Lytechinus pictus: one gene and its partners. The main gene of each other region encodes a partner of the protein of the gene in region 3 in a complex. Links are inferred from orthologs where the notes say so. Each region holds a gene or a part of one and is shown on either strand. Other genes may lie near its edges.

Region 1 (7,994 bases), on a different chromosome or scaffold from region 3:
ACTCTCACAGCTAACCGTCCCTAGCCAGATCAAAAATCAACTGCGCCGTATGTGCTTGATACGTAAACCTTCAGACCTACGATATCGAACCACACCCTTATTTATTTGCATATTCAAATTAGGCCTAGGAAATATTTTCAAACGCCCTCTATAGTGAGGAAATAATAAAAAATCAAATAAATTTTCTTATTTATTCTGACACCTACCTTTGGAGTAACGATTTCTGCTGATCTTACTTGGAAATCACCCCGGGGGGGCACTCAGTATATAATGCATAGTGGGTATGTGCCGCGGAGGGGACCCCCATTTTTACACTTAAATTTCCGTTCCAAGGCATAGCATTTTTGTCTTATTGAGAAAAAGAAGAAAGAAAGCCGCTCCAAAGCATAGCATTTTCTTCTTATCGAGAAAAAAGAAGAAAGAAATCCGCTCCAAAGCTTTGCATATTTTCGTTACGCCGTTCCGGTCGCATTGATCTGCTACAATGAGCTGCAATTTTGGTGAAAAGCGGCCGCAGAGCGCTGTCCGACCATTGCCTCTGCGCGAGCGCACCCGGCGGAGGCCGCGCTAGCTGCATCATGCACGCATGCCTGTCTGTTCCATAGGGATGCATCATAGGAATGCATACGCACTCACACGCTGGCGATCCGTTCCAAGGTCCCCCGTTTTCACAAACATTTGTAGTTCCGAAGCCCGTTCCGAGGACCCTCCTTTTTACAATAAGCCCGCTCCAAGGCCCCCGTTTTTTGTCTCGCCCGCGGCACACCCCTACCACTTTTTTGGTCGAGTGCCCCCCCCCCCCCCCCGGGGAAATCACACTATCAGCGAATAGTCAGCAAAGCAAATAAGACTGCAGCTCTGATACCAAAGGGAAAGCTTACAAAGCTCTTGTTCGTCCACACCTGGAGTATGCGTCTGCTGTTACTGATCCCTACCAGGCTAGATACATCCATATGTTAGATAAAGTTCAGAGAAGAGCCGCTCGTTTTGTGATCAACGACTACAGTCGTAAGTCCAGTGTTTCCAGGATGCTAAAACAATTAGAGTGGGAAAGTCTTGTTGACAGCCGACTCAATGCCAGATTGAGCCAGTTCTACTTAATTCATAAGGGGGAATCTCCAGTAACGTCAACCAAACTCCACCTTAAAACTCTAGCCGTCCAAGTCGACGCTTCACACCAGATGCCTACAATATCATCAAATCCAGAACTGATAGGCACCTGTACTCATTCCTGCCCAGAACCATACGGGACTGGAACGACCTTCCCTTAGCCATTACATCAATGCAATCGCTTGACAAATTTAAGGCTGCTCTAAACTAATCAATTTCGCATCTGCACCCGACCACAGCATCATGGAACTTTCGTTCTGTTGCTGGGTACCCGTGATGATGATGAAGTGACGTATCATCGGCATACAATATAAAATGTGGTTCATGGCAAGAGTTACATTAACAATGTCTATTAAAAATAATAAAGGCTCAAGAATAGAACCTAGGGGCCTACCTGTTTTAATTTCTCCATGAAAGACGAATGGGTATTATTATAGACAGTAAATGTAATAAATATGACTTGAACCAATTAAAAGACACTCCTCTTATACCATTATATTGCAACTTTATCATGAGGAAGAGAATCAAAAGTCTTGGAGAGATCTTTAAAAATTCCCGTAACCTTAATACCGGCATTGAGCTCACTAATTATTTTATCATGAATTTCAATAAGTGCCATTTCCTATAGTAATTTTGACGGAAGCCGTATTGACTATCATATAATACATTGTGACATAATAAAAAATTGTATAGTCTGTTAAAAACCAATTTCTTTAAGATATTTGAGAAACATGGCAAAATTGATATTGGACAGTAGATGATGAATAGATTAGGATTCTCCTTTTTAAAAACGGGAACAACTTTTGATATTTTCAGTTTTGAAGGCGCAATTCCAGTTTAATACAAGAGAGGAATTAAAGATATGTAAGAGTGGGTCTATAATGAAAGGTAAAACATTCTTCACAACACATGGATCAATGTCATCAAATACGGTACTCTTAATATTAGATAGCGATTTACTGATATCTAATATTTCTTTTTTTGTAATCGGTTTAAAAAACATGAGAAAGTGGGTCACTCATATACATATCAAACAAATTAAAATGATCGTCATTGGGATCATTGTTTTTGCTCGATCTGATATTGACAAAATATTCATTTAAATTTTCTGCAATTTCACGAAGTCACTAATGTTACAATCATTGTGTAAAAAAGACTTTTGATTATCAGAATTATTTTTTTGTTTTCCCAAAATGTTATGGATAAGTTTCCACATTTTATTAGAATTTGTTTTCTAGGATTCAAACTTATCAAAATGATATTTTCTTTTCAACTGCCGGAGATTCAGGGTAACAGCATTTCGAATCTTTTTATATTTATCGTGATTAGCTTTCATAGAGTTTAGGTACAATTTATAACATTTATTTTTCTTTCTTGTAAGCTTCATCATATTGAGGGGAATCCGTGGCTTTCTATTCTGATAACGTTTACCAATATACTTTGTACTGATTAGCAGATACTTTATTACCTTGTATAACAAACATCTGCCAGATGTTTGTTATACAAGGTAATAAAGTTTAATGAGTCATACGCCATCTCCGGGTGGCTTTGTAGGTATACTTCTGACCAGTCCATGGTTGAAAGATCAGCACATAAATGATTAATGCTGCAGGGGATATCTTCCTGTAGGTGTGTACATGTACTTTTCATTGCTCATATATTACAATATCTGACAAATGTTACAAATGGAAGATAGGAAAGTGGTTGGGAATATCTGGTAAAAAGGCACCGACAAAGGGGAACGACTAAAAACATTTATGAATATATTGTCAATAATAGTTGATGATCTACTATTGGCTCGTTTAGGTCTGTCTTTAATGGAATAAAACCCCGATGAAATCACATGGTTCAAAAAATGAAGAAATAGAGGGCTTCCAGATTTTTTTAACAAATCGATGTTAAAGTTGCCCATTAAGAAGAAACATTATTTATATAACTATTATTCATCAGTCTATCAAAATATGAAGTAAATGCAGAAATACTCGATTTCGGTTTGCGATAAATTATCCCAATCATGATACTCTCCCCTGATTTGAACTCTATTTCAATGTGTAAATCATTGACACCTTCATAGTGCTCTGAAAAATCACACAATTTTTAATTCATATCCTCTCTAATAAATAGACCAACTCCACCACGGCCATTTAGTCGGTCACAATGTAGGAACTTCAATTGAAAAGGGGAAATGAGAGTTTGAGTTGATCCATGTTTCCGATATCCCAATCACTGAAAATCTAAATCTGATATTTGAGAGAAAACTGTGAATGTAATCGAAATTTTGAAATTAACTTCTTGCATTGAAATGGATCATGCTCAAGTGTCTTGTTACAGAGTTTTTGATAATTTCATTGAATTTGGAGGTCAAGTGATACTCACATTGGTAGAGTCAGTATATTCATCCTGGCCATTTTCCACAAGTTGTCGGTCTATATTATCTGTATCGACAGATTCTCTTGAAAAACGGAATAAAGATTCAAATTCCTAGTCATCAATTTCTGCAAATGGGAGAAGGTAAGTATCGTTTAAATTTACAGATGAGTTATTGATGGTTTCATCTTTATTCAAACTTGAGTCTATTATTACATCATTCGACATCATTAACAAGATGTAACAGGACAAGAACACAAAATCTTCACAAAACACAAATATGTGAAAAACAATTGACAAAAGGTAAAATACTATTTCAATCACTATCTGTTATTTATCTTTTAGAGTCAGATAATAAACCGACTGATATAAACCAATCTGAACTGGAATGCAACAGCATTGATTTTTCTCTCAGGTTACAGATTCTCCAAGTCTTTTTTTCTGTGATTGGTTTTACGAATTGACTTTCCATTCGTGGTAGTTAACAGGACTACGATTCGTCCATCAGAGGACCAAGTTCCATTGACCTTTGAGTGTTTCTTCGCAGCCCACAGAAGTTCCTTGTTTGTAGTCCTATTGCCTCCTCTATCCCCATACCAGTACCTTTCAGTTTCCTCCGTGCACGCAGGACACTGTTTCGGATTGGGTATGAACAAAACTTGGCAATAATGGCACGCGGCTTCTTGTTCTTCTGATTGATGCCTGCAGATCCAGAGTCTGAAGTTGGTTTATCACTCCTTGGAGCAGCACAATGCGATCTATTGAGATCGTTTACGGTTAGATGGACACCAAGACGCTCAGCAGCTGTTTGACAAATAGCTTCATCCATATTTTCTAATCCATTCTCCTTCACACCATAAAACTTTAGACAATTGCGGCAAGAATATTGTTAAAATGAGATATGATATTTACGGAATATTGGATGGCATTGAGTGGATGCGAAGAAATATTGTTCTTCAGCAAGTAACAATATTTCATCCCACGAAAATTGGTCATCCAATATTATTATTATTATTTAGAAATCCCCACAAAGCCAAACAAAGTAATGAAGCAAAACCATCATTTATGGCATTCCTGTAAATCATGAGCATGGGCGCCTGATTATTGTAATTTAAAAATCTTTAATAAAATAAAGATGCGCTAGCGTATAATGCAAGCGCATTTGAATTCAATAAATCGATGCTCCTTTACCACACCTGTCAACTAATACACAATACAATTTCATTGTGACATAACAATAGGTTCACGCGCACAATCATTTATTAACCAATGATAAGCTTGTGGGCGGGGCAAAACATTAATTTTCTCCAATATTTTCAATATTGGATGGTTTCCATAGGCATGCACGTTAAAAATCACTTAATATTTTGTCTCTTTAAAACAACCTCGCAAGACATCAAAAACATCTGCGCCTCTAAAACCCTACATCCAAATAATATTGTGAGTTATTCCTCTTTGTTGCCTTTATCATTCTGTTTGTTTGTTTTTATTCAATCTTTAGGGCAAATCTGTTGAGAACAGAGTACTGCAAACAAGCACAGGTAGCTATGCATTGAATATTATGATCTATTATAAATATTATTCACAGTCAGTTGCAACATTTGATAGTTTCATGACAGAACTAATCAACTAGTGTACTTTGTATGTATTGTGAGCTTTAAAGGTTTGCATGGTGGTAAGACTGAATGGAGAGTTTTTTTATAACACCATGTAGGTTGGTCCTTAAAAGGACTGCTGGTTTATCTTACTGACAGTAGCTCTGAAAAGAACTGTTATCCAGGACATTTCGAGCAGATAAGCGTTGCTTGTCGGCTATGTACATTGACAAAATAACTGAATGAATTTCAAATGAACTCTAAAAAGGGGTACATGTATACATGTAAAAATCAGTGTATGACTTTAGGGGATTGGGTGGTCAGTCAGTTGGTTGGTCTGTTACAGTACATATTTTACATTTCAAACCATTTTCTTAGTTTTCACCAAATGCTCATGAGACTGATACATGTACAAATTGGTCACAAAACATTTTTTTCTTTTGATGGGTTGGGTACTCGCTCTATTGCCACAAAAAGACAGATGGCAATAAACTGAGCTAAAATGCTACATTCTCGCTGGGGTATTATTATTTTCTTCAGTGGTATTTCGCATTGACATTAATCACATGATATCTTGATGTTCTGTGATTATAGGTGTATGGACAGCAACTGGAAAAGACTTTTAGCAAACCTGTCAAAGCAACTGTCTTTCTAAATCCAGCTGCTAGAAAAGGGTAAATATTATTTGTTATACAATCACTTTATAAATACTTGTATTTATCTGAGATGGTTCAACCAGCTCTCATTGGGTTTGTTTTTCACTGTTCGCTAGGTCATTTTATTTCGATTATTTTTCTGATATATACCCATACTTGGTGGCACATGTTGCCAAGATAATGGTCTGCATTGTCAAATCATGGTTCATTTCTTTTTAATATACTAAATACCTATTAAAGACCCTTCATTTTTGTCTCACCTGCATAGCAGAGTGAGACTATAGGCGCCGCTTTTCCGACGGCGGCGGCGACGGCGGCGTCAACACCAAATCTTAACCTGAGGTTAAGTTTTTGAAATGACAGCATAACTTAGAAAGTATATGGACCTAGTTCATGAAACTTGGCCATAAGGTTAATCAAGTATTACTGAACATCCTGCCTGAGTTTCATGTCACATGACCAAGGTCAAAGGTCATTTAGGGTCAATGAACTTAGACCATGTTGGGGGAATCAACATCAAAATCTTAACCTAAGGTTAAGTTTTTGAAATGTCATCATAACTTAGAAAATATATGGACCTAGTTCATGAAACTTATACATAAGGTTAATCAAGTATCACTGAACATCCTGCATGAGTTTCACATCACATGACCAAGGTCAAAGGTCATTTAGGGTCAATGAACTTTGGCCGAATTGGGGGTATCTGTTGAATTACCATCATAACTTTGAAAGTTTATGGATCTGATTCATGAAACTTGGACATAATAGTAATCAAGTATTACTGAACATCCTGTGCAAGTTTCAGGTCACATGATCAAGGTCAAAGGTCATTTAGGGTCAATGAACTTTGGCCAAATTGGGGTATTTGTTGAATTACAGCCATAAATTTGAAAGTGTGTTGGTCTAGTTCATAAAACTTGGACATAATAGTAATCAAGTATCACTGAACATCCTGTGCGAGTTTCAGGTCACATGATCAAGGTCAAACAGGCGCGTAGCCAGGGGGGGCGGTGGGGGCGGTCGCCCCCCCCAAAACGTCCCAAAAAAGAAAAAAAGGAAGGGGAAAAAGAGAGGAGAAAAGGAAAGCGAAGGGAGGAAGGGGAAGAGAGGTTGCTTTGTGGGTTTTTCTTTTCATTCTTTATTTTTCTCTCAAAAGAATTAGTACCTTAACGAAACTCCTTCACTCTCGCTCTAAATTTATATATATATGAATTTTGCTTCCGCGCTTCGCGCGGTCAAATGACAATATTGCAGTTCTCCTTTCCCTCACCCTTTCTTTAACCCTGTCTTTCCACCTCGGTTATAGGGCTAGTGCGTTCCTTGCTACTTAAAGTTAAAATGTATACATTAGGGCATGGAATTAGAGTAAGATTAGGCCGAATTATATGAAGTTGTCTTTTTTTCCTTCAAATTGATCACGCAACATTCCGCACTTCTGGTCGGGTCGGCTCCCGGCGGGTAAAATCTTTATATCAAATGTTGCCGTCACCCCCATATAGGCAACTTCTCCCGCTTTAGCTTGTTAATAAACATTCATAATTTTGGGGTAAACAGGTTCCTAATTGAAAAAGAGGAAGGTATAAAATTCGTGTCGTATTAAATAAAAAAGTACAATATTTTTATCAAATTCGATGAAACTTCATGTCATGTCTCAGTTTGAAATTTTGAAAGACACTTAAGTTTCTTAATTGTTCAAATGCGAGCGCTTCAGGATGAGTCAAAGAAATTATTATTTTTATAATATAATTTCAATAAATCACAGAAGCTTCAACTTTTTGCGCTCTATTTTCCTTGTAATGAAGTTCAATAATCTTAGAAAATCAATAGAGCCGATGGGGGTATTGGAGATATCTGCATTTGACGTAACGTCCGCCCTTAGAAATTTCAGAGTTTCATTGCTGTGCGCGTGGAGGAATGTCTTCCTCCCGGCACCCTTCTTCTTCTCTGTTTTGCGAGTTAAAAATATGCACTGTCGCTAAATTGTTTGTAATCAAACTTTCCACGGGAATTCAATATACATGATATAACTAACTTGATACCCTTTTCCCGGGACCCTTTTCTTAAAAAACAATTGATAAAACGCTTTAGCTTCCGCGCTTCGCGCGGGGTAATTGTTATTTTAATTTCCTCCATTTATCCCTTTTAGTGCGTTCGAACATATCACAATCACTTTTCAAATCAATGTTCAAAATCAGAATATAGTCAACTGAATTGGAGCTGACGACAAGAGAGACGGCTCCTTTTCATTTTAATTTATGAAACACCG
Region 2 (7,768 bases), about 3.2 Mb from region 3:
TCTTTTAAAAATGTATGTTGTGCACGCCCTTTTATGAGATGAGCGAGACCAGTCCCTCCCCCTTTTATTTATTTATTATTTTTTTGAGGGGGGGGGGGTCTCTTCATAAATTTGGTAGAATATTGATTTGACCTACAGCCTGTGCCCCTCTCCACATTTTAAGAAATCATGAATCTGCCCGTAACTGCTTTTATCTTTTGGTAGTTGCATCAAAGTTACTTTTGTGATAATTTTGCTATCCAACCATGGAATATTGGCTGTCACCATGGTAGTTGCTCACTCGTAAATTGTTAAGAGTATCAATGGCAACTTTGGCAAGAATAAAATTTCAACAAACATCAATTTTCTTAACATGCCAAGTGTGCCTATACCAGTCAGTCAAGTACATTCAGATGATCATTCTTTTATAGTGATTAGTATCACTGATGATATGTAAACAGTCATGGTATAATTAAAGCTTTGGTAAAAGACAAATATACATACCAATCTTACAAAAGTGTAGTGAAAATTACCCAAGTTTCCAAAAACTAATTCTTTGTCAAATTAAATATTGACGAGATGGCAGATGTACACCACTGTACATACATGTAGCCCTATTTGTTTAACACTTATGAAGTTAACTCTCATATCAAAATCTCTTAACAAAGATTTAATCCCGATACTTGATCCATGCATGAAAGGTTATTGATACCAAAATCAAGGATTTTTGGCTCGGGACCCATTACAACCCAACATATTGATTGTTAATTTAACCTATTCATATTATATGCTGAATCAAATCTTTCACCTCAGGTGTTTTAGGATACTTTTTCATTTTATTGAAAATGGTCACTTTATCCTATCCATCTTTAGAAACATATGTTTGAAAAATACAGTATTGATTTTCACTTTGAAGCCTCACCCTTGTATTAAAAAATGCTTACTATCAGAAGTTTGGAATTGTATGCACTATGGACTACAATACAAAATTTGAAATTTTGGCAAAGCTGAATAAGCTCAAATGAAACTGAATAATTTTCTTTTTAATTCTCCAGAACATGCCTTTCTAGATACACAGAGTTTTGTTACCCCCGCAATTCCGCCAATATCAATGGCTTTAAATCTGCGATTTACCTTCTGTGACATTTAGCAAAAGTGTCAATATATTGTCCTCTCAAATCTACCATGCAATCCTGTGCTCTGCAGTCTGCACAGAACACGCTGGATAATAACATCATTGCAACACTTGCAGAGTGATTGCACCTAAATATTGCATCGTTGCTAAACCTATAGCAATTTTGCAAACATGATGCAAAAATGCAAGGCAAGAGAATGCTAGTCATATATACAAACTGACCAGATTCTGTGTCACAGAAGTTGCATCTTAATCTAAAGCAGAGTATTATCATAATTTTCTAATTAAAAAAAAAAAATCAAATTCAATGTGGGTGAGGCTTGCATGGCTCAGTTATCATTCTCTTGTCCTTCATTCAGCCCGTTGGACAAGTTACAAATTAAACTTCTCAAATATGATCTTACAAACAGGCGATATCCTGCCTTGACCACTGCTGAAAACCAAACTCCTCTGGACTTAATAGTTAATGCTTTCATGAAGCTGATATGTGGCCAAGATAACTGCATCCACAAGTTACATCTGATCTGGGTCCTATAACATTTTAAAAGCAATTCAATGAATTGTACATTCAATTGAATTGCATCTCTAATGTACCTGGGCCCTGGGCTGATTGGAGATCATCACTAACTCTGTCCCTGCATTTGTTTCATCATGGCCTCATCTTGGGCTGACTTCTCAGTCAATTTTTTACCAATGCTCTCATGGACCTCCAAATACTTAGCAACACAGCGATCCAAGCAGACAGCTTCACCTTTAGAAAGGTCACCTTCTTTGTAGGTAGGTGGAATACACTTCTTCTGACAAGCAACAGTCATCCTAAAAAAGAAAAGTACATACATTTTAAGAATTAGTTGAAATTATGGTATAAGATAATGAAATGTAGGACGATAGGATCTGGAGCCGTATTCTGAAAATTGTCTTATCTTGTATCTTCAGATAAAATCCGTAGTCTGACATTCTTGTATCTTTTCTTGTAATTTTTTTGTAACTTTGAATGAGCATGTTTGACATCACAGTTATGATGCGTAAAGTTGACAATCACAATGGCACATAAAAATATCTGTGCGCAAGATAACTAATCGAGAAAAAACATTGAAAAAGGTAGTTCTGAAAGTTCTGCTTACTTCCTTAAAATACAAGAAAATTTAAGAGATAGGGGGCTATTGTAACTTTATCATGCGATATTTATCGGTCAAAAATAATAATTTTTTGCTGCATCCCGCAAGAACATCGTTTTACAAAATGAGAAAAGATTACATAGACGGATTGGTAGACTTTTCAACAATCAATTTATCAAAAATTGGTATTCGAGTTGATGAATTTTTAATATATTACTATTAGTATTAAAAGTATTAATATTAGACTCTATATAATGTGGAGCAGCCTAGTATAATAATGTCAAAGAAAATATGATTCGGAGAACAGCCACATGCACTTTTACTACTTTTACCATGTTTACATTAGCAGTACTAACCTGTTGTACATGTCTGCCATCATTTCTACTTCTAATTCAGCCAAGAGCTGAAGCTGCTGCTGTTCATTCATGATTGTTCAAGTCTATTCGACTAGGAATTGTGAAGTCTCCTCTCTAGCGCAGTGCCGTCTTTGCCACGCCGAGGTTGCGGCGGATAATGAGACGAGCGGTCCGTCAAGCAGATGCAAAGTCCGAAGCGAAGATGGCACTGGCGAAATGAATATATCCTTATTTTTTTACAGTTTAGGTTCAGATGATTAATCGAATTAGTATAAATTATGATAATCGACGGATATTGAAACTATTAAACATACAAAGATCGATTCTCCTCTCAATATTCGTTGCAATTTTGTTTAGTATGCACGTGGACCAAGCAATTCTTATGGTAAACGCACTTACACAAATAAAAAAGTAATTATTTGGAAAAAAGGCTACTCTGAGCTGCTCATCTCATCTCATTTATTTCAAAACAAACTGCGATTTATTCAATTTCAATTCAATTCAATTTATGACAGTGGATAGTTGAATATTATTTTTATAAAAGACTTTTTTCTACAGAAGCATGGGAGCTGTGATGACTTAAGATTAATATGCCCCTTTTCACGCATTTATGGGGGGGGGGGGGGGGGCTATCTAGGGGTCGAGCTAGCTACTACACATATTTTTATGTTAAATTGCCAATTCGTCTACTGCCATCCCACTGGTCTACCTTCATTTTGTCAAATGCCATTTCGTCAATCAATATTTCATCTACCACCCATTTCGTCCAGCAGTCGTCATTTTGTCGAATATCCATTTCGTCTACCACCCATTTAGTCTGATTCCATTTAGGCTAATGCCAACTCTTCCATCAATCAGTTCGTCCAACATTTATTTGGTCCAATAGCCATGTCGGCTAATATCAGTTGGTCCAATATTCAAATTGTCTACTTATCAATTCGTTTAATTGCCATTTCGTCTAATTATCTTTTTGTCCACCAACCATTAGGTCCGATACTAGTAATCAGTTCGTCTAACAACCAATTTCTTCCAATTCCCAAATCATCCAATAGCCATTTAGTCTAATAGCTAATTGGTCCAATAGCCATTTTGTCAAACACAAATACGTTGCATTATCCGAGCAGAGGCGGCAAAATTACTTAAATATATATACCTTGAAATTATTGAAAATAAAAAATGAATTAAAAAATCATGATAACTACTATCAGGAATGGAATGAACACATGCCCCCACCCCCTTCAGCTGGCAAAAAAAAAACGGGGGAGGGGGAGGAGAAAAAGAGGAAGAAAGAGAAATGTAGTGGGGAAAGAAGAAATCATTGTATTTTATTTTAATGTTATATTATTTAACATTTGTATTATATATTGCATTATATTATACACAAGATATATTTTTCATAACTGTATGAAACACAATTTGCTTAGGGCCTATGTGTTCGTCACTCCTGGTGCTCGCATTGTCTGTTTAATGAGATAGATCATCCTGTTCAATGGCACTAAATGGTATTGAAACATCCCGTTTTCAAGTCAATATACACCAAATATATTTCCTTGCACTTCGAGCTTTTACTATTTTATGTAGTGACATATGCTTCTGTTTCATGACTACTTAATGTGATAGCCTCCGAAAACATTTCCAGTCGTGCTTAGGTCTGCATTCGCGGATTGGTGAGATATGTCTGCTCTTCATGAAAACCTAAAAACAGTCCTTAAAATGTCCCCTTTTTTCTGGTCTGAATATCAAAAATTTTCAGCTCGCGCTTCGTGCTTGAATTATTTGATTAAGGAGATACATATCCTTTTACTAACACAATCCTTAAAAGCTCTATTGTCAGTATATGAGCCCACTAAGTAACTCAAAATTCTGGTCGGATATAACAATTAAAATGATAATCATCGATCATTCATCATCATATAACAATAATAATAAAAATGAATAAATAATAGTAATAATAATAAGAAGAATGGTAATTAATATTTATAATAGATTTAGATTTAGATTTATTCATTTTCCGTTCACAAAGCACAACAAAATCAAAGTAACAATACATAGTCAAATAGTCACACACAAAAAGAAAAAAAAAGAGGAGAAAAAAGTAGGTGAGGGGAGAAAAGGAAAGAGGTAAAATAAGAGGAAGTCATGTGAATAAAACCAAAAATACAAAAACAAAATAACAAAAACAGGTGTGTATTAATCAGAAATCCTGAGCGCTACAGGAGGCGAGTCAGCAATACACAGGCACCGTACACATAGAGGGCTGCTATAGTAGAAGACTATTTATGGTTGTAGATGAAATGAATGTTGGACGAAATGATTGGCCAAGATGGCATTTGAACCTATTGGTGATTAGACCAAATGATTTTTAGACAAAATGGGTTTAGACTAAGTGATGGTAGACCAACTGCATTAGGCCAAATGGACAATAGACAAAATGAAAGTAGACTAAGTGGTCATTAGACTATTTATTTATTTATTGTGGAGCGTTGTGGCCCAGTGGATTTGTCTTCGGACTTTGAAACAGAGGGTCGTGGGTTCGAATCCCAGCCATGGCGTAATTTCCTTCGGCAAGAAATTTATCCACTTTGTGCTGCACTCGACCCAGGTGAGGTGAATGGGTACCCGGTGGGATTTATTCCTTGAATGCTTTAGCGCCTGTATGGCCGCTCAGCTACAGCCGGGGTAATAATAATATACCAAGTATATTTCAGCGCCTTGAGCACATAATCAATGTGGATTTGGCGCTTTAGAAATACTCTATATTATTATTATTATTATTATTATTATTTGCCTTTAGACCAGTTGGCTATTAGACCAAATGGTAATAGACCTAATGAGATTGGACAAAGTGGCTATTGGACCAAATGGCAAAAAAATGCAATTAGACCAAATGAGAATAGACAAAATGGTTATTAGACCAACTGGCTATTGGACAAAATGGTAATTGGACGATGTGGATAGTGGACCAACTGATGGCTGACGAAATGACATTAGACCATATGGTGAGTGGACAAAATGGCAGTAGACAAAACGGCAGAACTGAAACCATTTTTATTTAGTTTGCCAATATTCTCAGCTTTTCTGTACCATTGTTTAGTACCCATTGAAATATCCTTATAGAATGCGAAGGAATTAATATAACTGAAACGAAAGGCCAGTCAGTGGGATTTTTGTTGAGGCGATTCTTTTTAGTCAAATCAATTGAACATGTATCTTCTTTAAATTCTATTTTTCTAATACCTTTGTTTGCCTTATCATTGTTGTATGGTGTTATCACTCTATTCTATACTCTGCATTGCTTTTTATTGGAATATTGAATTGAAAATAAATTGAAATTTGCACATCATGCAAAACCCCATGCAACCATGCAGATAAATGAACATAACACTTAGCTTTCGTGAACTTGTGCAAGTTTTAATTAGAAAAAAACATATATACATGTATTAACACATGTTGTATTCATTTTTGAGAGGGGGCAATAAAGAAAAATCCACAACACAACAAAAATGTTCAGAATCCACATAGCCCTAATCTAGTCTGCAGGCACAGACCCTAATTGAAGCTTTGATCAACAATTGAGTCTCCACAGAAGACTCGCATATATAAAACTTGCTGTTTCAGTAAATATGTAGGCTGCACATTCAGACCTTTAACTCAAGTGAGGGGTTTGCACAGGAGACTAGCCAAAATCAGGAGTAAAAGGGGTTCACTAGATTTGACTTTAATTGGAGGATACAAACACATAAATGTGGAACTAAGGGGAAGTCCACCCAAACAAGTCAATTTGAATAAAAAGAAAAACAAAATCTTGCTGAACTCATACTGAAAATTTCATCAAATTCAAAATCAGAATAAAATAAGTATAGTATGACATTTTACAAATTTTGAGTAATTTCACAAGACAGTAATTTGCATATACCGGTCATTATGCAAATGAGGGAACCTTTTACATCATCCAATCACTATTTCTTTTGTAATTTATGATATGAATATAAAAAAAGTATTTTAATTTTCTCCTCATTACAAAGTGACACAAATTTTAAGTCCTCTCAAAACTTTTGAAACTGCCATCTGGCTTAATCTTTCATGGTTCAATCAAGAGGATGCTTATTATCAATCTGGAAAACTTAAAGTGTTGCTTAATTCATATAATAAAAAAGTTATTAAGCATTTGTGAGTTAACAACATCAACTGTCTCAATTGCATATCACTGAGTTATGCATAGAACTGTTTTGACAAAAATAAGCAAAAGTTCAAAATGTCAGAACTTCCTTATTTTACATCTTATTTTAATAAAATTTTCAGCACAGGCTTGCTTGATTTGTCTCTTTTGATTCAAATCAACCTTTGTCTGAGATGGACTTGACCTTTAAATAAATCTCCCATGGCTAGCCCTACCCATGTGAAAAAACCCCCTGACATTGCCTGTTTATCTATACTGACAGAAAGTAAAAAAAAGTATGGTACTAATGACTACTATCCATTTCATTTGGAAGTCTCAGGGTGGTAGGGGATAGTAGAATAATATTTTGTTCACATCCATTTAATCACCCATAAAAAATAGTTATTTTGATTGGTCAAATTTACATCATACCCTTTTCACATGTGCTTATTTCACCATCTAAACAAGAGATATCCTCATGAAATATTGAAATATAGAATTTACTATTGAAATTCTTCACAATATCAGCACCAAACATGGAGTTCAGCACATTTGACAAACTCGGAGATATCCCCTTGCCTTGATTTCTTTTTAATTTTAAAGATAGAATATCTTGTAACATACTTTGTTGTGAACAAAACTTGTTTGCCCCTGTTCTAATTTGACATACTTAACATAAAGAATACAGCACATCTCAACCAGCAGGGTCAAAAATGAAGAACAGTATTTGAGAAATACTACATAATCTGTACACAATTTTTTACATAAGGTTTGTAATACATGTACATAATACATATATATTAATGAAATAAAGAAGAAAACAATGTAGATCTAATTCAGCTTTGATTAGAAAAGAAACAAGTAATGGAAGGATATCCTCTTCAAAATAGTTACAACCTAAAATAAAATGACCAATGTTGACCGTGTACAAAATTCCTTGTTTACAATATCAAAACGAGCCATAATGCCAGAAAAATATTTTATGAAAGAAGTTGTCCGACATTTACCATATTCTCAGCCA
Region 3 (7,599 bases):
TCATTGCTGAAGACAGTGAAGTAATATTTGCCGAAACTCCTTCTCGCTACGCACCGGGGCTCTTTCCGGTAAGTAGCAATACATACAAAAATTATACATATGATTTTGAAATTATTTTATGATAAAAAGAGCAAATTTCGCTTACCTCGGCCTAGCAAGTGACTTCGTTTGTCTCTTCTACGGAAATACAAGGAAGCCCATTGGTGGCGCTAATAAATTTCACAACCTTGATTCAGCTCCTCGGTAATTTTATAACTGTGTCTAAATTTTTTGAATGTGCAATTCTTATGATTAATTTACTAATTATGGGCACCAATAAATGAAATACCTTAAAAAATATAATTCAAGATTACTATTGGCGATGATAACACTTTTTTGCAATCAATTTAAAACGATGACTAATAAAATAAAATTGAAAAAAATACACATGCCTGTAACGAAACCAGCAGTACAAGCTTTAATGAACGTCAATAATACGGTATACCAAAGTCTATACAATGAAAAGATTGGACACTTCACGGACTTCGCGTAATGCCTTGCGTGGATTTGCGTGTAAAATAGTGTAGGTGCCTAGTCTTTCCCTTGTCGTGTCTTTGATATGAATATAAATCGCGCGCCCTCTTTAGGAGAAAATTGATATCCACACCAACCAATTTTTATCTCCGTGAAATCTTCACTAAAGATCAAGAAAATATACATATTTTTTTAAAGAAACTTCAAGGAGAAGTCACGGAAGGATCTAAATGATTCGGTAAGTGTCATAGCAGAATGTGAAATACCAGATTATGCGTGATATTTTATGTGGGCAAAAGCCCAATCTATTTTCAATGTGTCGTGTGTGTCGTGTGAATATGAGTTTATGACTGATATTCCTTCGCACGCGAGACGATATGAACCCATGGGTGCCCCTGGCTCGCCCTGCCTAGACCAAAAGCTTCGGTCTCTGTTATGTTGGTTGTTCAGCTGAACTCCGTTGGCTTCACTCACCAAATACAGAGACCGAAGTTCTAGCGCGATCTGTACAGGGGACTCAATGGCCATATATTTATGTACTTAAGATCTGATAAAACGGGGAAATGAATTTGCGCGACAGCCGAGGTAAGTCACTGTTTTTGTTCCTTTTAACTTGATTTTTCTCTGTTTTTTGGCAATTAATGCCAAGAGGGAATATTAATTTGCATTTTGGTCGCATTAATTTTCAAAATTTTTATTCATTAAAGCCAAAAATTGAAGAGCCCCGACGGGGGGATTTTGCATTGCAAGTCCCCTAATGGTGGCTGCACGCTAGCGAGCCGTCTGTGTACGAGGAGAAATTAAAAAAAAAAAAAAAGTTAAAAAACTCCTCGAAACAGACGGCTGCCAGCTGTCTACGCCCTGCCTAGACCAAAAGCTTCAGTCTCTGTATTTTGGTTGTTCCGCTGAACTACGTTGGCTCCACTCACCATACATAGACTGAAGGGGATGGGGCCCCGTACCTACAGCCAACGTATAGTGAACTAGCGTTTTATAGATCGCGATTTAAAACTGTTTTTTAAGCAAAATTGAAAGTTTCATGGTTTCCATTATCAGGGAAATATAAATAACTTAAGTAATTGCATACCTTGGGCCGGAGTTATTGAAAAAAATCCTATGGATGATTGAGAAATCTGTCATCTAAGACATTTTCACCTGACCTGACGGTTTTTCTTGCAAGTTGCCATCTTGAATGACGTCATTATCGTTATTAACTTAATGTCTCGAATCGATATATCGCGATTATAACTAGTACTAGTACTAGTATAACTAGTATCGTTTATCTTCGGTTTCGATCGCATATGGAGCAGATCGTATAATATCGAAAGCAATATCGATATCACATTCGTGATTGTTGACGTTCGTTTGTAAATATTTTATAGTTTGGCTGCCATTTTGACCATTTTTATCGTGTTCAACCCAATTAAACATCGGTAAAGTATATTTTTCATGCCTTTTTCATCTATATCGTTTAAAGTATTTAAATATTAAAATATTGAATTTTAAAAGTTTGTTGTTTATACATCCTTAGATTGTAAATTCGATGTGTAAAATTACATCAAACTTTGGACTGTGAATTGACAAAAGGGAGGGAATGAGAACACATGCGAGCCCACACGTACACCCTACCGTCGGTAAATGGGGATTACAGTAAAATGTCAGAAATTGTTGAATAAATCCCCAGAAACGACGGTTATTCCTGTCTACGCCCTGCCTAGACAGCTGGCAGCCGTCTGTTTCGAGGAGTTTTTTAACTTTTTTTTTTTTTTTTTAATTTCTCCTCATACACAGACGGCTCGCTAGCGTGCAGCCACCATTAGGGGACTTGCAATGCAAAATCCCCCCATCGGGGCTCTTCAATTTTTGTCTTTAATGAATAAAAATTTTGAAAATTAACCCGACCAAAACGCAAATGAATATTCCCTCTTGGCATTAATTGCCAAAAAACAGAGAAAAATCAAGTTAAAAAGAACAAAAACAGTGACTTACCTCGGCTGTCGCGCAAATTCACTTCCCCGTTTTATCCGATCTTAAGTACATAAACATATGGCCATTGAGTCCCCTGTACAGATCGCGCTAGAAGTAGAACTTCGGTCTCTGTATTTGGTGAGTGAAGCCAACGGAGTTCAGCTGAACAACCAACATAACAGAGACCGAAGCTTTTGGTCTACGCCCTGCCCTGCCGGAGGTATGGGGAGATACGTACCGAGAACACCGCTGATGACTGTCTTGAATGTGCAGCTTTCCATTACCCGTTCAATCGTTTGTTCCTCAGGCGATTTAGGTGGAAGGGGAAGGCCATATTGCCTCATCTCTGAATTAAACCGCTTCTTATTTTCCCCAACTAATGCTTCCATCACATTTAATAAACGTAAATCTCCAGGATCTGATTCATTTTTAATTAAACCTGCTCCTCCGTCGTCATGTGTTTGACTACTGGGCGCCGCCATCTTAACACAGTGCGCGCAGCATGGATCGATAGTCTGCAGGTACAGTACAGACCCTGATTAAATTTTTTAGCCACAACCGTCACACAAGACTAGCACAAATTAATCATTCTGTTCACTTTCATGAATGAGAGGGAATCTGTATCCAAGTCATTGGCAGAGACCGGCATCAGTATCATCATCATCATCATCAACATCATCATACATGTATCATCATATCATCATCATCATCAACAACATCATCATCCTCCTCCTCCTCCTCATTATCATCATCATCATCAAGGCATGCATCATCACTAAACGCCTATTGCCATCACCACGCCCGTCAGGCCTCTATCATGGATTCATAAGTTAATTGATACAGGGTTGTGTAAAGACCCCCCAAAACCTTATCCATTCTCTGCAGATTAACATCCATAATATCTACGGTTCACTTGCTCGAATCTTCATAATAAAAGAGAAAAAAAAAACACGCCCCCAACAAGACAAATAAGGCAAAAAAAGAATTAAAGTTAAAAAAAAGCAAAAAAAAAAACAAACAAAGACACATGGAAAGATTGAAATATATCAAGAAAAATTATAAGTAAAGAAACAGATAAGATAAGGAGAAAGTGTGGTAGAAAATGAGCTGAGAAGGGAAAAGAAAAGGAAATACAATACAAAAAATGTGGAAAACAAAGGGGGGGGGGGGAATAGAAGCTCATATGTGATGAGTGTGTGGAGGCCAATGGGGAGGGGTAAACGGAAGAGAAGACCTTGAAAAACGGGTGACTCCCATCGAGGTCATGGGACACAGGTCACTGGTGGCAGCAGGGCAATGCTTGCCGCGGCCGGATCTAGGAGTCTTAGGGGAGGGGCATATTTTTCTACAACATATTTTTAAGAGCAAAAATAAAGGTAAAATGTCTTTCTCACCATATAGCAGTAAGCAACAAAAAAATGGTCATCACTGAAAGCACAGCCCCTTGACCAAACGGGGCACTACTTCATTTGAAAAACCCTCGAGGGATGAAGTCCCACTGACTGCGAGTGCCCACAATTTGTCAAATATAATGGTAGGTTCTGTCCGGGGTCCTGTCATGCCTATTTACCTTTTAATAATGAGTTTATATTATAAGAATCTTTCCTTTGAAATTGACACTTTTATCATACATTTGCTCCCTCGATCATCCTGCATGGATCCGCCCACCTGCTCCATACTGCGACACGATTTTTATTCAATAGACGGGAGTATATATTCTCAGAAAATAATCGTCACCTTAATTGGCACACAATCCTGAAATATCTCCGATACACTGGCGGATCCAGGGGGGGGGGGGAACAGCAGGCACGTGCCCCCTTTTGAGAGCCATGATCAAATTTGTAATACCGCTTTACCCAAGTGTGCCCCCCTATTGAAAGTGAGAACTTTTTTTTTCTTTTTCTTCTTTCTTTTCAAAGAAATGCCTTCCGATTTTAGGTGAAAACCTTTTCATTTTTTCTTTTTTTTTGCTTGTCAAATTTTCATGGGAAAATGTGCCACCCCCCTTTGGAAAATCCTGGATCCGCCCCTGCTCCGATCTATACTAGAGTCACGAATTGACCTTGACTTATAACTAAACAAAAGTGAGAAAATGTCAGAGGGAAATGTTGTGACGTCATCTTGAGTTAGCAGAGTGAAATTTACTATCACACGCGCAAGCGGTCGGTGAGCAATAATAAGTAAATTCCATTTACGGCGTTACTCGGGAGCTGGCGACAATTTTTCATGACCTTCGGTGCTGTCTTCGCGTCATACCTCTATTGAGTCCGGCTTTTGATGAGTGTGTTCTACCGACATCTATCAATATGACTACCAGTACCAGCTCGCTAAAGACAGAGGACATACATAATAACACCAATAACCATGATCTTTAGCTAAATAAAAAACACAAAGCCGGATTACTCAACACAGGAACAACGAGGACTCCCGTTTAGTGGAGAGTATGTTGCCATGGTAATGAGCCAGTCAGATGTATCTTCATCATAACGAGGAATTATCCCTTTAAGTTCATTATACGGATCGATTGGAAAGATAAACTGAATGTTTTATCCTTATCTCATCGTACAATCATCTTACAATTTTCGCCGCTCTGAGTGCTGGAATCACATTAGGGTATGTATTTTTAAAGTAAAATTTGACAACTTTTATGACGGTTTATAACCAATCTCTTTTGCTGACCTCAGATTTATCATCTTTCTCTTAGGACCGGATATTAAATTCCATTAACAAAAACTCCTAATTGTTCTTCATATCCCCAAACCTGCACCCCAACCACCCCAACCCCCTCTTAATATGGGTATATTATGTAGTTACACGGTCAAGAACATTTTTAATATATATATTTCTTCTTTCCCTTTCTTCCGTCTCATCTGTTTTCTTATTTTTCCCACTAATTAAAATGCTTCATGCTCCCCCCTCAGTGTGGAGCCGTCCCTAGCCGAGGGCTGCTTGTTTAATTTGCATATCATGACTTTTGATCACCTTCAATTCTAATGTCGCTTCACTAATAATAATTCTTCTCTGACATTATTATGGATGGTGTTTCACAGGTAGCCGATAGAGATATAAATCACGTATGATAATGAGCGGACTTAGTTTAAAGTCGTCATCCGATAAATTTAACTGGCCATTTCTGATCAGAATTCATCAACCTATAAGTCTGTAGGCGTCTAGATCTACATGACTCACTGGCGGATCGGGGGGGGGGGGGCACAGCCGGCCCGTGTCCCCCCCTTTTTTTTTTTAGCATTTCGCACTTGACATTTCGGAATGTGCTTATATTAAAGTTATAGGAATGCAGGGGGGTGCAATAATACGGTTACACTTCGTAATTCCGAAGGTTCGTAATTCCGAAACACGTAAATTGCCAATACCTCGATGTTCGTTAATCCGAAAACGTAAAAGGGTTCGTTAATCCGAACATTTGTGGCGTTATTCCGAAGGTTCGTTATTCCGAAGGTTCGTTAATCCGAAAACGAAATAAGGTTCGATGTTCCGAAGGTTCGTCAATCCGAAAACGAAATAAGGTTCGTTGTTCCGAAGGTTCGTTAATCCGAAAACGAAATAAGGTTCGTTGTTCCGAAGGTTCGTTAGTCCGAAAACGAAATAAGGTTCGTTAATCATTAGTTTTCGGACTAACGAATCTTCGGAATCACGAACCTCATTTCGTTTTCGGATTAACGAACCTTCGGAATTGCGAACCTCACTTCGTTTTCGGACTAACGAACCTTCGGAATTACGAACCTCATTTCGTTTTCGGACTAACGAACCTTCGGAATTACGAACCTTCGGAAATACGAACCTTCGGAATAACGAACCTTCGGAATATCCGAACCTTCGGAATAACGAAGCTTCGGAATTACGAATGTATATGCGCAATAGGTTTATAGGTTTAGTAATTTTCAAAACATTAAAATGCATGTTTGCTATTATATCTCATATTCTGGACAATTATTTGTGGGTGTACTTAGGGTAAAATCAAGGTATATTGCATTTTTGCACGGAAATACCCAATATATCCGATATACATGCCTAAATTATATATCAAGTTGTGACAAATAATGAATTGTCATGATAATAATTTTTTTTAAAAGTTTTTTGTTATTTCCCTCCGAAATAGGGCATATATTTGCATTAACATTTTTAACAATGATATAATAGACATAGTACAAAGCATGATACACATAATATAATTTTGAACAAAGTATAGGCCTATACATGCAGGGCATTTCAAACAAAAGGCAACCGAAATGAATTTTGACCAATTAAAGCGCACATGATGCTACATTGTGAATGCTATCAATTAAAATGCAAAAACTAGTTACTCCAAATGGAATGAAAATTTAGGTAAACAAGCACACTTTATTCTAATTCAATGAATATACAGTCTAGCTCAAACTCCATATTGTTTGAAAACGAGAAAATGGAATACAAGATCAAGTTATCTCTGAAAGCACTAAATCCGGCGAAGTTGAATAGGAGATGGATAATGGCCGGCAAATCCTATAGTAAAATGAAAAACAGGGACCGCCCCCGCCCCCCAAAAGAGAGAAAAAATCACACCCCCTAAAAAAGTACAGAATAGAAAAGAAAATCCGAAAGGTATATAATACTGACGTGCTTTTTATACACCCGTCATTCCATCGAGAAAATAGTGATATCATACACATTGAAGTCGTCTTACCCCCTATACCCTGGCAAAGCATTTGGAGGAGGCCTGTACATCAGTATAATATTATTTGCGATTACAACCAAACGAAATTAAAGTACCCACAAAATGATCCCAAAAGGAATAAGATGAGTAAATGATACAAGCAGAGTTTGAACGACAATCAATCTATCATTCAATCAAAACGAGTGAATGAAAAATAAGTTTTCAAGTTTTGTAATAATAATGATTATGTATACTCTAAAAACACAAATGGGAAAAGGATGGAAAAGGGCCGAGAAGTTACCCCGTTTTCCACTCTTTTTTAAAAACACTGTCACTCTTCGTTTTACCCATTACCACCCTTTCATAAAGAGTATATATATATTGGATCATGGATATATTTGCTAGTATAGGTCCATGATTGGATGCACTTAAATATGTATGTCAGTCAATGCATTCATCAGTGT
Region 4 (7,605 bases), on a different chromosome or scaffold from region 3:
CCACTTCCATTTCCTGTCCTTTTAAATGGGATTTTGTCGTGTTTTTTATTCTCTCTGGAACTTGGGCTGTGGAGTATATACCGCCGCGCTCCTAGCTCGATCCGCAATTCAAAGATCTAGCCGACGGTTTTATGCTAGCTAGTCGTGTTGCCGTTTTGATACGGCAACACGACCTTAGCTGGAGGAAGAACACAAGAGAGATACGGTACTACCGGTATAGAGATTTGAATAACCCGGGGAGCGTTTCATCAACATTTCTTTCCGACAAGTTGTCAGATCTGACATCTCTCCTTCATTTTGATTGGCTGAGAAGCACTGTAACTATGGTAACTGTCAGATGAAATGGTCGGATAAAACGTCTGACATGTCCTTTCATATGCTCCCCAGTTTTATCTGATAGTTACCATAGTAACAGTGCCTCTCTGCCAATCAGAATCAAGGAAAGTTGTCAGATCTGACAACTTGGAGGACAAAAATGTTGATGAAACACTCCCCTGGGATTAAGGCGAAAGGGTTAAGGATTGATCAAATTAAATCACAAAAGGAAGTTTCAAAGATCAGACTTCAGTAATGATCCCATGATATTTTGGTCGCCATTGATCAATAGGGGACCATGGTTAATTCACTATACCTTGAATCCACAGATTTCCCCTCCTCTCTGCATTGCAAGGGGGAAATGGCAACTGAAATAAATATCTTTTTTCTCTATTTCACACTCCTTTTCGGTCATTTCTTTTCTCTCCCCCCCCCCCCCGGCCCCTCTCTCTTACATGGGCGGGAATCACAGGGGGACAGGGGGACGTGTCCCCCTACCAAAAATATAGTAGGGGGACACAATATCCAATGTCCCCCTACTATTTTTGGTCTTTTATGATGGAAAGAAATACATCATTCAAAATCGAAATAAAACATGTATTTTGGACGAGATGACCTTATAACTTTTTTAGTGATAACCTTTTTTTTTTGCTAGTCAAATTTATTTTCTTTTAAATGATCTTACATTTGAGGTGATAACCTTTTTCTTTATTTTTTTTAGTGTCAAATTTTCCAGCCCCTGGTCCCCCTACCTTTGGGGAGAGATTTCTGCCCCTTATATTTCTTTATCTCTCTTTTTTTATTTCCTTTCCCTTCTTTTCCTTCTCTCTTTATTTTTCTTTCCTCTTTTTTTTTCTATATGCTTTCACGACGGGGGATCCAGCTTTTGACAATGTCCATTATGAGATCCGAAGGAAAAGAAGAAAAAAAGGATTTAAAAGAGAATAATGAGGAAAAAGAAAAGATGGGCTTACTATATCATGACTGTATGAATTTTGAATCGTTTATCACGTAGGTCGAAAGATTATTAACTGTGAATCAACAAATGAAATGGATTTTTCACATGTATAGGGCCTACTTAACTCAAGTCTTAACATGTTGGAGACTTGGAGTGAAATTAATTTTTCTTGTAAATATACATCATCGCGGGACAGTTAAACCTGGGCGTTGTGGCGTGCGCCTGTAATCCAAGCTGTGGGGGAAGTTACAAATTTATGCAGAGGTTCGAGGTTCGAGCCCTGCATGGTCACGTATTTCGGATGGTGACGTTAAAGGTAGGTCCCAGACGTAAACAATCTAATATTTTTTATACACGTCTGACAAAACTCATACACACACACACACAGTTAAAACTGTTTATCGCCATTTTATGGGAAACATGGTTAGAATCAGAAGACGTGATACTATATATGCCCTAATTTGTAGCAATTATATATGCAATAAAGTCGAGGCATCCATGAAAACAACCGGTTAAAATGGAGATAAAAATGGGGCCCGGATGCATATTTCATAAGGAACGGTCTATTTGATGGATTTTTTTTTTTTTTTTATCTTTGATGGATTCCCTAAAACCCTCACCCGGTATCATTTCAATTATTTTCTGTTATGTTTACAATAAACTTTATGTCAGGGTGAATTTCCCCTGTAATGAATTACGTACAATAATTGGGATCCAAAGTGTGCTTCAAATTTGAATATTGTGGAAGAGCGATTTGACATGAGAAGGCAGTGTATGTATGTCCAGGAAAAAATAACAAATTCCCACTCAAGTGTTATCAATTCGGTGCAGGAGATCTAAAGTGTTATTTAAAAATGTTACCCTCTTTCCATTAGTCCAACATTATAATTCTAATTTTCTTCTCATAACCTTTCTTATTTAATTTACTGTACGTGGAGGGGTTTTTTGATTTTTTTGCGCGGGGTTTAAGACTGGCTTTTTTTACCTCAGCCATTTTTACCTCTGCCATTTTACCTCTGCCATTTTTACTTCTGCTATTTTTGCCTTTTTCGTTTTTCCCTCTGCCATTTTTACACCGAGCCTAATATTGCATTCATTACTTCTGGCATGATGATTGTCCATGTATATAGAACTCTTTCAAAAAGATTAGGTAGAACTTCTCAATTGCAAAATCAGGGGAGCGTTTCATCAACAATTTCGTTCGACAAGTTGTCAGATCTGAAACTTTTTCTTGATTTTGATTGGCTGAGAAGCAGTGTTACTATATGGTAACTGTCGGATAAGAGCGTTTCATGCAAGGATTTAATTCGGACATTCATCCGACAAGTCCCATTTTATCCGACAGTTACCATAGTAACAGTGTCTCTCAGCCAATCAGAATTGAAGAAAGATGTCAGATCGGACACTTGTCGGACAGAAAATTATGTTGATGTATAACGCCCCCCCTGCATGGACTTGACAGATAAAACGCCTGACAAGTCCTTTCCATAGAAAGGACTCTATGGTCCTTTCATGCATGGATTCAGCGCTCCCCTGAAATCCATCCTCGGCTAGCTCCGGGTCGGCATAAGTCAGTCGGTTAATTTGATTTATCTCTGATTATCAGCAAACATTTTTTCTCAGACCCTGAGAAAATGTACTTTAATAAATAATAAGATTGTTCATATGAATGAAGTATGCTAATTAATCTATGCATAAAATAGAGAATTTTCTCCAACTAACTATAAGACAGCCCCAAACAGTAAATTTTCTATTCACAGATTCTTTGTAGGATCCTGATCAAAATGTAATTTAAAACAAAATTCGGTATCGCATTTTTTTGTATTTTCTTAATTGTTTTTTAAATTGTTTATGTAGGCCTTTAAAAAAAATGTTTTGATTTTTTTTATTGCTTTCGATGGAAGTTTTTGTCGACTTGATTCTGATCATAAACAAAATAAAATTAATTGATTTCATTCAGTAAAAAGTATAAATAATGATACATTTATAAATATTGACTAAAACACAATTTGCATTGAATATGAATTCGCGTTTTTATAGTAATTACTGGTCTGGCATCCATGCACTTAGATTTTGTTGCGTATAATTTTGTACCCTTTTTGGGTTGAAACTAAAAAGAAAAGTATATTCCTGTAATAGCCAAAAAGTGAAAAAAACATCTTAAGAATTCAAGTTGAGGAAACATGCAGGGATAACACCTCATACATCTCGAAAATATGAAGCTTTTGATTTCGAATAAATAGCAGTTACATTTTCTCAATTTTTCCTTTTCTTTTTATCCCCTCCAATTAGGCCCTATTGCAAAAGGGGAGAGGATGTTATTTTTTCTCTAGGGGGAGTGGCACTGCGGCTTTGGGAGCGGAGAGGAGGCGGCTTTTGTAGCTGTTTATGTTATGGTAACTCCAATAGAACTCTAGAATAGGACAGCTTCAGTTGTTTGCTGATATACTTGTAATGCAAGGCTGGTACGAAATACCCTATTGTGGGGATCGAGGGTACGTGGGGTGGATGGGCAGCGTTATCGTCACTGCATCCAACGCAAGAGGGTGCGATATAATTAGCCAGATACGCCATGGCCCTGTGAAGCGGGGGTGCTGGTGCTGACGGCTAGCACCCCAAAAAATTTTCTTGTTGGTGCTGCGTGTGTTATTTTCCATATAGGCAGCAAAAGTCAAAGATTTGTAAACCTGATTGAAATCCTCCAAAACAGCCTGTTATCATATAGTTATATCGTCAAGATTCTCACAAGATAGGCCTATACCCTCTTGTGTCGGGTGCACAAGGTCACCACTTCCGTGTTTTAAAATTAGTAAGGTAATTAAATAGGGGCATCATACCCACTGAACTAGAATACGTATTTCTAGTTCAGTTATCATACCCCCCCCCCCCCCCGCATACCACACTCCCCACTCCGAGGCAGGGGGAGTGCATGACAAGCACATTTTTTTTACACACTTTTTTTTTAAACAAAATTTCATATTGGTTTCCTCCCCGGTCTGCTAACAGCATTATAATTACTCTTCCACTTAATATATTACACCCTCTTTTCTCTTCTTTTCACAAATAAGAACATGATCATTCCTATAGTCCATCTCTCAAATTGGTAGGCTCTTCTTTCCGTTTTGTTGTCTATCTTCACTTCACCTCGTTCCACTTTGATTTTTGTAAGTCAAATTTTTTTTTTTAATAATGAAAATTATTTAATTTTATAAAATACATTTAAATATTAATAATTGTAAAATTAGCTTAAAATCCTTTAAATAATTATTTCGTGCGTGTATATATATTTTTATTATATCTCTTTATTAATGTCTTGACAAAGACTTGGAATTTATTCAAGATGGCTGCGTCCATGAGACAAATGCTGTCGCGACTCTCTACCGCAAAAGAGGGATTGAAGGTTCCAGGACGTCTTAAAACGGGTCTCCCCAAAAAGATAGGTAAGATAAAAGATCATGGCATTATCCTGGTTAGACAGCTGGCAGCCGTCTGTTTCGAGGAGTTTTTTAACATTTTTTTCCCCTGATATTACTCACAGCTCAGTCCAGTGAGTCCACAGACGGCTCGCTATCGTCGACGTCGGGAGGTGGCTCCGGCCCGCGAAGGCGTGCCGGAGCCTAGTCTTGACTTGAGGACGCAATGATGATGACTTTTAAAATAATGAAATATACTTCTTCATCAATATACTTCTTCATCATTGACGTCAAGACGTCAATGATGAAGAAGTATATTTCATTATTTTAAAGTCATCATCATTGCGTCCTCAAGACTAGCCGGAGCCCAGGGCCAGGGGCCTGTTGCACGACGAGATGAGCGATACGTAGGAACGTCCTTGAGTCTTGACTCCTAGGACCATTCTTCCGAGAGAGGAAGATTGGCGACAAATCAGCGCTTTCCGTTTCACGAAGGCAATTTTGTCTTCCAAGCCCGCGACATCGTTTGATATCGATAGTATCGGAAAATTATAATTTAGTCTTCATCGCCACCTGGCTGAAGCTGAACCTTTTATTTCGGAATGACGACTTTTCATCAAATCATATATTTCAATAAATGGAGATCAAGTAATGTTTTATTTATTACTGATTGTAGAATTGATGTATGGAGCTTACTTTATGAGGTAAAAAGAGAAAAAAACTTTAAAGATTCACAAACTTAACTGGATAAAATTAAAAAAAATCACATATTTCCCTTATTTAGAACTCGGTGTCCTTTTAGTTTTAGAGACACCTTTCATTGATATTTCAACGAAAGAGATCCTTGTCCGACATAAAAATTGAATTAATTAAGTAATTTCGACATTGTATTAGGTTGATATTCTGATTTTTTTTATGGAATACTTATTCATAATGATAATTTTGCAAATTATGTGTTAAATGTTATTTGTTGAGGTGAAAATTGGGTTTGAATGGAGTAAACAAAATCGACGTGTCTGATTGTATGAGACTAAAAAGGAAAATATGAGAGGCTGTGTGTGAAAAATCTAATTTATTTATTTTATTTGTCAGATACCGGTATAACGCAAGAAATACAAATGTGAGTGTTAAGAGTATAAACATACCTTTGCATAATACCGAAGACAAGCAAAATATGAAAATTGCCGCTGCAAACATGTCCAAGTGGGTAAAGTAGTGCTTTTCAATAGAAAAATGTGTAAAATCAATCTGCAATGGAAAAAATACAGTTCAATGCTAACAATGACTAAGATCATTAATGTTGGTCATATTTAAATGATAACTTTATGGAAGTTTATATAAGAATATAAGCTTTAAGAATATAATATATGTATATTTTTAACATTTTAAAGTTGAGGAGTCAAGACTATATTTTGCTTTAACATGATATAGGGGCTGATAACGGACTTTCCATAATCTGATCTTTTATAGGTACAATGAACTTATCTTAATATGTAATGACTGATGGGTTCGTAAGCTATAGGCCTTATTTATATCTTAATTTCAATTAGCTACATGTATTTTGTTATTGCAGATTTTTTTTCCGTTCATCAACTCAAGTTAGCAACCCAACAATTAATATTCATTGATTGAAATTAATCTCAGCAAAAAAATATAATGAAAACGAAATGAAATATAAATAAATGATTTGCACGTTTATTTATATCATGTTTTTTTTTTGCTGAATGTTATAAACATGTTTTTTTACCATACCGTATTTTTAAAATTTGTTTTCATTTTTATTATCTAATGAGAAAGCATGAGGCGTCAGAGAGATTGCCGCCCATTTCAATATTTCAAGTTTAATTGAAAAAAACAAACTGGAAAATGGGTGGGGAAAAGACGGAGGGAGAATAAAAGGAAACATGCTAAAAAAATTATTTGGGCCTATAGTACCCGGAGAAGTTAAAATGACTTCCGCTTTTGGTCGTCTTGCTGTGCAAGAGTCGACAACCTGAAATTGATGACAACTAGCCCCGATATATAACAAATAACTTGGCGCCATCCCAGATAAAATGCATCAGACTGCAATCGAATGGAATGACCCCCAAAAATGTTTAAAGGGGATATGTCAGTGTGGCTTGCCGTAAACGCATTTTCTCTCAATGCCGACGGCGGGGGTGGTGTGCAAAGAAGAACATGCCTACGTAGGACATGTCTGGAGGTGTCTTTCCAAGGACCATTCTTCGTATCGCCCAAATCGGCTTTGTGAACCAGTTGAGCGATATCTCGTTCTTACGTAGAACAGTTCTACGAAAGACCCTTTCATGCAACAGGCCCCAGGACTCGTTCGTGTAATACGAGACGGACATATATTCTCCAAAATGGGGTAGAATGGGGTCGCAATAGCACTCAAAATAAAAGGGGAAAATATAAATTATGCACTTACCTCGATTATATGGAAGGTCTATCGTGAGACACATAATCCTGACATCGAGTGATCGAGGCACAATTAAACTGGACCCTCAAAAAAAAGGAAGAGTTCTGTCTTGTTCGTTCTCCTTCTGTCAAAATTGAAACCAAAATGGCCGATCGATACCAAAAACGAACGCGACAGAGGTCTAACTTTTCCTTTTTTTTTGAGGGTCCAGTTTGTGCCTCGTCGCGCGCCCTCGATGTCAGGATTCTGTGTCTCACGATAGACCTTCATCCATATAATCGAGGTTAGTGCATAATTTATATTTTCCCCTTTTATTTTGAGTGCTATTGCGACCCCATTCTGCCCCATTTTGGAGAGCATATGTCCGCCTCGTATTACACGGACGAGTCCTGGGCTCCGGCCCGCAAAGCGGGTCTGAGCTCCCTGGGTTAGCTATCGTGCAGCCACCATTAGGGGGTTAACAATTGATGCAAAATCCCCCGACAGGACTCATCGAATTT

What was found.
Region 1: mitochondrial import inner membrane translocase subunit Tim22-like (region 3) and acylglycerol kinase, mitochondrial-like share a complex: the UniProt entries of both Homo sapiens proteins name them as parts of the TIM22 complex. The link is inferred for Lytechinus pictus from reciprocal best matches to the Homo sapiens genes TIMM22 and AGK.
Region 2: the proteins of mitochondrial import inner membrane translocase subunit Tim22-like (region 3) and mitochondrial import inner membrane translocase subunit Tim10-B-like are in contact, whole or in part, in a cryo-EM structure (PDB 7CGP), measured with the Homo sapiens proteins. The link is inferred for Lytechinus pictus from reciprocal best matches to the Homo sapiens genes TIMM22 and TIMM10. Residues at the interface, in NP_037469.2 of Homo sapiens: Tyr25, Ser26, Leu28, Leu29, Gln30, Tyr31, Leu32, Val33, Arg40, Leu42, Leu47, Gly48, Glu67, Glu144, Ser145, Tyr146, Gly148, Ser150; in NP_036588.1 of Homo sapiens: Pro3, Ala6, Gln7, Leu9, Ala10, Ala11, Leu13, Glu14, Val15, Met17, Met18, Ala19, Tyr22, Ser44, Lys45, Gly46, Glu47, Arg53, His62, Glu63, Gly66, Leu69, Thr70, Ser73, Met74.
Region 4: mitochondrial import inner membrane translocase subunit Tim22-like (region 3) and mitochondrial import inner membrane translocase subunit Tim29-like share a complex: the UniProt entries of both Homo sapiens proteins name them as parts of the TIM22 complex. The link is inferred for Lytechinus pictus from reciprocal best matches to the Homo sapiens genes TIMM22 and TIMM29.

Annotation. Positions count from the first base shown.
Region 1 is NW_026974140.1:1,665,068-1,673,061, reverse strand, and holds the start of acylglycerol kinase, mitochondrial-like, read left to right. Parts: upstream 1-4,983; 5' UTR 4,984-5,018; intron 5,019-5,666; 5' UTR 5,667-5,746; intron 5,747-7,994. UniProt on the Homo sapiens protein: Lipid kinase that can phosphorylate both monoacylglycerol and diacylglycerol to form lysophosphatidic acid (LPA) and phosphatidic acid (PA), respectively. Does not phosphorylate sphingosine. Phosphorylates ceramide.
Region 2 is NC_087246.1:16,543,388-16,551,155, reverse strand, and holds the start of mitochondrial import inner membrane translocase subunit Tim10-B-like, read right to left. Parts: upstream 3,003-7,768; 5' UTR 2,660-3,002; coding exon 2,589-2,659; intron 1,931-2,588; coding exon 1,738-1,930; 3' UTR 1-1,737.
Region 3 is NC_087246.1:19,694,178-19,701,776, reverse strand, and holds the start of mitochondrial import inner membrane translocase subunit Tim22-like, read right to left. Parts: upstream 3,005-7,599; 5' UTR 2,964-3,004; coding exon 2,720-2,963; intron 1-2,719. UniProt on the Homo sapiens protein: Essential core component of the TIM22 complex, a complex that mediates the import and insertion of multi-pass transmembrane proteins into the mitochondrial inner membrane. In the TIM22 complex, it constitutes the voltage-activated and signal-gated channel.
Region 4 is NC_087255.1:1,813,097-1,820,701, reverse strand, and holds the start of mitochondrial import inner membrane translocase subunit Tim29-like, read left to right. Parts: upstream 1-4,594; 5' UTR 4,595-4,613; coding exon 4,614-4,713; intron 4,714-7,605. Other genes in the region: calcium homeostasis endoplasmic reticulum protein-like, read right to left, coding at 1-10. UniProt on the Homo sapiens protein: Component of the TIM22 complex, a complex that mediates the import and insertion of multi-pass transmembrane proteins into the mitochondrial inner membrane.